Linked DNA regions of Canis lupus familiaris. The protein of the gene in region 1 binds, or shares a complex with, the protein of each later gene. Links are inferred from orthologs where the notes say so. Each region holds a gene or a part of one and is shown in the gene's direction. Other genes may lie near its edges.

Region 1 (3,651 bases):
TAGACTTACATTTTTTGAGCACCATCTTATTTTCTCCATTTTCTTTGAATAAATATAATTTCAGCAACTTTTGATATAATGATTCATTTGAGGTTGTTTAGTAATTGTCCAGGTATTATGGGCTGAAATGCTTTGACACTGGGATAGGAGAAGAGGCTTTGAACCTAAAGGGGAGAATTGTGATTGCTATCACTTTTTAAGCAATTGCATTTACTTTTTGTTTCTTTAGGGAAACCAGCCATTGCTCATAGAGATTTGAAATCTAAGAATATCTTGGTAAAGAAGAATGGAACTTGCTGTATTGCAGACTTAGGACTGGCAGTGAGACATGATTCAGCCACAGATACCATTGATATTGCTCCAAATCACAGAGTGGGAACAAAAAGGTATGCTTGTAAATAGTGTTTATTATCTTCTGAGCTCAACTTCTTTTTAATTTCCTTCTCATTTATGTGGATTATCTTCTGAAACTCAAACCTGTACTTTATTAGATTGCCCACAGGTAGAAGATCTCATGGTCTTGCCTGCTCTGAAGCCAAGGTTACCTGACTTTTAAAGATGCCTGCTGATGAAAGGTGGCCCTTCCAGAAAATATCATTCGTGGCCCTTCCAGAAAAATTATAATAATAATAGGAGCTGATGTTTATAGGGTACCCAGTATGTGCCAGTCATTTTAATGGGTCATACATATATATATGCTTGGTTCTTGCTTAATATATATATATATATATATATATATTCATTCTCTCAGTTAATGCTCTCTTCAAATGCTGTACTGTAGCTAGCCCAACTATTTTCTTATTTTTAGTTCCTGGAACTATACTTTCTTCCTTAGAATTTCTGCATGTGTTGTATCCTAGAGCAGACTTTGTCCTGCTGTTTCCCTGGTTTATTTTTTTTATTTTTTTATTTTTTTTTGCTGCAAAAAGCTTTATTGTCTTGTTTCCCTGATTTATAGTCACCCTTCCTTTCCTAGAGGAAGCCCTTCCTGGACTGTGAGGCGCCCTTCCCAGGGGCTCTCATAGCAAGCTGTGAAGCTGGGCCATTAAGGCACTGAGCACATTATAACTCTCCATTTACTTGTCTTTATATTCCATTGGATTGCAAGCTGCTTGAGATCAGGCTTGTATTCCCAGCATCCATTATAGCACCTAATGCATAGTAAGTCCTTAGTAAATATTTGTTGAATCTATGAGTTTTCTAAAGAACATAACTAGGTAGGTGTCATTGCCTTCATTTCACAGAAGAGGAAACAGCCCCATAGATGTTAAATAAAAAGGTCAGCCTCACCTGAAGAGCTGAGATTTGAATTTAGGCCTTTCTGACCCCAAAGGCCTTAGTGTGTATATCACAGCATGTTGCCACAATGTATCTTCACACTATTGCCTCCACCTTGGATAGAGCCAAGCTTTATTCTATCTCAGTTGTATCTGTGATTTCTGGATTTGACGAGGACTCTCAGAACTCTTGATGTGGGGATTCAAGACAGTGATTGCTACAGTTCTTCATGGATCCTGATCTGTAACTTCAGGAGGGTTTTTAAAATTCCAAAACCCTACAATGAGGCATCAGTAGGAGGACTGGCATTCATTTTTTAATCTATTATTTTGTTCCCTGGATTATGTCCTCATCCTTCCTTTTCATCCTATTTTAGTGAGAAGACTTCTAGATTAAAATATATGATCCCTGCATAGTATTTGACAAAGTGGGTGGTATATGTTAAGACATTTATAATAGTCATGATTGTTATATAGGTGTCTTTCATTGGAAATGAAGATCATAAGGCAGATAAGATAGCATGAAATTGCTGTTTCAGCTTTTCATGGCATTTAGTTGACATCATTAATTTTCAAAGCAGTGTGGATATTTAATATTTTTCTTGAGTCTAATATTTTAGTTATATAATATTGTGTGTGTGTGTGTGTGTGTGTGTGTGTGTGTGTGTATCTCCATATATGAATAGAGATACCTGAAAGGTTGTTCATCAAAGCATTAATGATTTTTCACTTTGTACTTTTTGAACTTTGAGAAAATTTCTATAAGAAGCATGAGTCATTTTAAAAAGCAGAACCATGCTAAAAGGGAAGAAAAGTCTTAAAGTTAATACCAATTTAAAAAATATATATAAAAAAAATTCTCAGTAGGAAAAGAAAATATGTGAAACAGTTCAAAAGTAGTATGGCTACTATTCCATAAAGTAAATTGCTGACTTCTTTTTTAGGTATATGGCCCCCGAAGTTCTAGATGATTCCATAAATATGAAACACTTTGAATCCTTCAAACGTGCCGACATCTATGCAATGGGCTTAGTATTCTGGGAAATAGCTCGACGATGTTCCATTGGTGGTAAATTTCTCCCCCTCTCCCAACAGTTTGTCATGAACAGAAAAGGTGGTCCAGGATAGCCGCTTTTTTTTTTTTTCTTTAAGATTTTTTTTTTTTAAGATTTTATTTTTTTATTCATGAGAGACACACACACACACACACACACACACACACACACACACAGAGGCAGAGACACAGGCAGAGGGAGAAGCAGGCTCCACGCAGAAGCCCGACATGGGACTCCATCCTGGGACTCCAGGATCACGCTCTGGGCCAAAGGCAGGCACTAAGCCACTGAACCACCCAGGGATTCCCTTTACGATTTTTATTTATTTATTTGACACTGAGAGATGGTGGTAGAGAGCAATCACAAGCAGGATGAGTGGGAGAAGGAGAAGACTCCTCACTGATCAGGGAGCCCAATGCGGGGTTCAATGCCAGGACCCTGGGATCATGACTGGAGCCGAAGGCAGATGCTTAACTGACTGAGCCACCCAGGCACCCCTGTCGTGTTTTTGTTTGTTTGTTTGTTTGGTTTTTTTCATTGAATGAAATTATACACATTAGTAGTCAGAAATTATATTCACCAGGTGATCACTGAGAGTGCCAAAGAAAATAATGGAGATAAAATTTGCAGTGGGGGGAAATGACATGATATGACATGCTTATTCTAGTGTATTCTTTTTCTATTTCCATTTGAATCTTGGGAAACATGAGAAACCAAGCCCTTGTTATCTTGGAATATAGTTATTTATAATGGATGACTGCTTGAGAGGCCACCCAGGAAGCTGTTTCTACAGCATGTACCTGGGTCAAACTCATTTTCCCCCCTGAGAGTGTGTTATTTTCTCCAACTTCTTAGCTGGAAGTTACATATACAGAATACAGTTACATTACCATTACACTAGTTTTTAAACAAGTTTATTTTAGCTGAAATTTAGTTTTAGATTGAGCACTTTTAATATTTACTTGCGGAATAGTTTCTTATACTTAGGGGCCCAGGCTTGGTTGAGACTTGGGTTTATGTGGCAATAAGAGGGAGAGCATGTCTCTGTATTATATAGCAAAGAGGACAGATCCAAGTAGAGGTAAAGGACTTGCACCCCAGATTTGCTTGTAGGATTTACATCTCCATGGTAGAGTGTATATCCCCTGTACCAAGTGAGAGGGTGAGCACTCACAGGTTAAAAACTATCATTTCTTGCACATGAGGTGAAAATGTTAATCAAGTCATCATAGCTCATAGTTAACCGTCATTAAAATAGCCTTTGCTGATCCCCTAGTGATATGTAGTTTCAGAGTGTGGGCCCAGTACCAACTCAGAGA
Region 2 (3,651 bases), on another chromosome or scaffold:
GCCGATACCCCCTCACTGTGGACTTTGAGGCTTTTGGCTGGGACTGGATCATCGCGCCTAAACGATACAAGGCCAACTACTGCTCCGGCCAGTGCGAGTACATGTTCATGCAAAAGTATCCGCACACCCACTTGGTGCAACAGGCTAATCCAAGAGGCTCTGCTGGGCCCTGCTGTACTCCCACCAAGATGTCCCCAATCAACATGCTCTACTTCAATGACAAGCAGCAGATTATCTACGGCAAGATCCCTGGCATGGTGGTGGATCGCTGTGGCTGTTCCTAAGGTGGGGGACAGAGGATGCCTCCCCCATAGACCCTACCCCTAGACCCCCAGCCCGACCCCCCGACCCCCAGGCCCTAGAGCTCCCTCCACCTCTTCCCATGAACATCACACCTTGTTCCCTGCCCAAGCAGTGTGCAATACAACAGAGGGAGGCAGGTGGGGACTGATGGGTGAGGGGTTTGGGGAAGAGGGGGGCATGGTCAGGTGGGGAGTGTTTGAGGTTTGCAGGTGAGAAGGTTTGGCAAGAAGACAGAGAGACGTAGAGACAGAGGTAGCGCAGAGGGATAGAGACAGAGGAACAAAAAGAGCAGCAGTGAGAAGGCAAAGGGAGAGAGAGGCAGAAGAGAGACCAGGCAGAGATAAATGGTGAGAAAGAGGCTGAAATGGAGTAATAAGAGAAAGCCCCACACCCAGCCTCCTTTCTTCCACTGGCGAGGTGAGGGGCTTGGTATGGTTTGGGGAGATCCCCTGACTACCATTCTCAGTAGGAGGAAATCAAAAATCCATTCTTAGCTTCTTCCCTTTCTCCCTCCACCAGTGGCCAAGGAAGGGAAATGAGGGCAGGGGCAAAAGTAAGGATTTGGGAATTTTATTTATTTATTTATTGTGACTTTTCTTTCTTTCTTTTCTTTTCTTTTTCTTTCTTTCTTTCTTTTTTTTTTTTTTTTTTTTTTTTTTTTGGTATTTGGCTTTACTGAAATAGAAGGGCCCCTGCCCACTGTGCCCCATTTCTCCTTTATTCCCCCAAACCCTGTTCTCCCTCAATACCCACCTACTTAAGCACTTGTATAAAGCCTCCAGGGTTGGGAAAGGGAGCAGAGGGCAAGAGGGCTGACACATGAGTTTCCAACCCATAATCACCCAACTTAACCTTCCTGAGCCAAATGGGTTGTACTGAATTCCAGCAGTCACAGAAACAGTATGAGGTTAGGGTTTAGGAGCTGGGGGTAGGGGGAAGGGGAGGGGAGAGCCATCAACATCCAGGATCTATATGAGAGCCACTAAACTAACCCTCAGGTCCACCCTCATAGTCCTGAGTTATTTAGCCAGAGGGTGTGGCCCACATATGCCCAAATTCCCCCCAGCCAAGAGAGACCAAAGAGCCTGTGGAATACCCCTACTCCCAGCCTCTATCTTCAGGTCAATAAGAGTATAGAGATCCCAGAGTCACGAGTCTGGGAAGGGTTAGGAGGGGTCAAGAAAGTAGTAAGGAGATTGAAGGTTACAGGGCATTTGAATTCAAATCACTGCTCTGGGTTAGGGAATAGAGCCAGCAGACCAAGATGGAAGGGATTCTGGAGGGGCAGGGGGACATTTTAGTTCCCCCAACCCCAAAGCTCAGGGTGGAAGGGGGGAGAACAAGGGAGCAGAGTGTCTATAATTATTTTTATCTTTTATTTTTGGAATCTAGCAGTACCTGGCAGCAGGGAGGGAACAAATACAGTGGGGAAGGGAAAAGCATCTGACAAGGCCAGTTAGAGCAGAGGATTGGAAGGATGGAGACTCCCTGGTTTGGAATGCTAGGAAGCAGGCAGGGACTGGTTGCCACTCCAAGTCACTAGCTGGGCCTATTCATTCCTCCCACAATCCTGACCCACCATCCTCTGGACTCACTGTGCCTCAGTTTCTTCCCCTCGATGGAATGAGAAATAGCAGCACCCGCCACAGCCAAGAGATGAATTCTGAGCACTTACCACGGGCACTTTATTGGACATAAAATACCTCTCGCTGTGGGACAGATAACCAGGGCACCAGAGTAGTGGTGAAGAGATGTGAGGCTTAGGAGTCACAAGCTTCAGAGTACAAGTTCCCCTCTGCCTCCCAGATGGACAGTGCCTGAAGCCAAGGAGTTGAGAAATCTCCTGATCCACACCCTATCCATACCTCACCACCAGACCTCTTGGCTCCAGACAAGAGCCTAGAGGATGTCAAGAGAGGAGGTCCAGAACCTTCAGCAAAACTGTCACTCTAAGTAGAGCCAGCAGTTATGGGTCTGATGCAAACAGTACTGAACTAAAGCCTGGAGAGCTGACCTGGAAGGCTTGTTCTTCCCAAGAGTATGACTCTCCTGTCTGGCCCAGATGGTGGAAGGGGCAAAGGTATGTGACCACCCTTGGGAAGGTGATGTTGGTGAGCTTTAGTATCTTATTCCCATTCCCATAGTGAAAAAATGAGATGCAGTATTTGGTACAGGAATGGGCAGGGGCTGTTAAGCAGTTCAACTCACCTCCCATGTAACAGCTATGCTAACCTCTAGCCTCTCCTCTCTGGCCGTTCTATCCTTCCTTCTACCCCAGTCTTGGAGAACAAGATACACCTGACCCATCAACATCATTCACATTTCCTTGGTTGAAGGAGGAACAGAGAAGTGAAGAACAGAAGATGCCTCCTCCAAGATCAAATGCTCATGTCTCTTGATCTTGGCACAGGGTGGGGGTTGGGCAATAGACATCAGGTGACTTCCCTCTATAAATGCTAGAGAGCTGGAGCATTAGACTTGGAGGACACTTACAATATGCCCCTTTAACACCACCAAATAAAGACCTTTGTGGGGGGAGGGTCTTTTTCTTCTGAACATATATTATGAAGTCTCATTCCCTTGGTCCTCCTCACTCCCAAAGAGGCATGGGGTAAAGAGGTTTGGGGGCACAGTAAAGCAACCTAGTGGGGACTAGCAACCCCTTTCCCACTTTATGATGTGTGTGGACCTGGCCAGTGCCCCTCTGATCATAAGTAGTGTAATTATTATTTACTTTGTGTATTTGTTACACCACGTGTGTGATTGCCTTTGTTTGTTAAGGGTGATTGAGAAGTATGGGGGTGACAGGGGTACTGGAATGCCGGGAAAGGACTTCTTCACTGAGATCAAGGCTTCCTGGAGGGAACCATTGCAAAAAGGCCATCAAGCAGTTTTCAAGTTATGTGACAGAGGGCAAAGATGGCCATAGGGTGCTCTGAGTTTTGGGATGGTCACATGACACAATCCAGCACTTGAACCTGAAAAAAAATAAATAAATAAAAGCAGTCAAAGAGTTTAGAATTCAGTGATGAACTCTTCTCCCTAACCAAGCGCCACATTTATACCTTGGAGACCAGGAACAAAAGAGGATCTGAGAGAGGAGGAAACCTTGTGCTCAAGGAGTAGGAACATGGGGGTCTTTGGAGCAAGGAAAAAAAACCACTAGGGGCATTTGGGATGAGGGTGAGGACATACAGTCCTAAGGAGCATGGGCAGAGAATGGGAAGGGGAGGGCACCTAGAACAACTCTTCTCTGTAAAACTTGATCCAAAACAGTCCCAAAGATTACCAAAACTCTCTTACAGCCTCCACATAACAGAATATCTGAAAGTTCTCTTAAGATGACCC

What was found. The genes of interacting proteins can lie anywhere in the genome.
Region 2: the proteins of TGFBR1 (region 1) and GDF11 are in contact, whole or in part, in a crystal structure (PDB 6MAC), measured with the Homo sapiens proteins. The link is inferred for Canis lupus familiaris from reciprocal best matches to the Homo sapiens genes TGFBR1 and GDF11. Residues at the interface, in NP_004603.1 of Homo sapiens: Ile78, Pro79, Asp81, Arg82, Phe84, Ala87, Pro88, Ser89, Ser90, Lys91; in NP_005802.1 of Homo sapiens: Phe322, Ala324, Phe325, Gly326, Trp327, Trp329, Ile330, Met382, Tyr384, Phe385, Asn386, Asp387, Ile392, Ile396, Pro397, Met399.

The regions. Positions count from the first base shown.
Region 1 is NC_049232.1:56,544,859-56,548,509, forward strand, and holds part of TGFBR1 (TGF-beta receptor type-1), read left to right. Parts: intron 1-229; coding exon 230-386; intron 387-2,221; coding exon 2,222-2,346; intron 2,347-3,651. UniProt on the Homo sapiens protein: Transmembrane serine/threonine kinase forming with the TGF-beta type II serine/threonine kinase receptor, TGFBR2, the non-promiscuous receptor for the TGF-beta cytokines TGFB1, TGFB2 and TGFB3.
Region 2 is NC_049231.1:498,209-501,859, forward strand, and holds part of GDF11 (growth/differentiation factor 11), read left to right. Parts: coding exon 1-284; 3' UTR 285-285; intron 286-987; exon of another isoform or gene 988-3,321; intron 3,322-3,651. UniProt on the Homo sapiens protein: Secreted signal that acts globally to regulate anterior/posterior axial patterning during development. May play critical roles in patterning both mesodermal and neural tissues. It is required for proper vertebral patterning and orofacial development.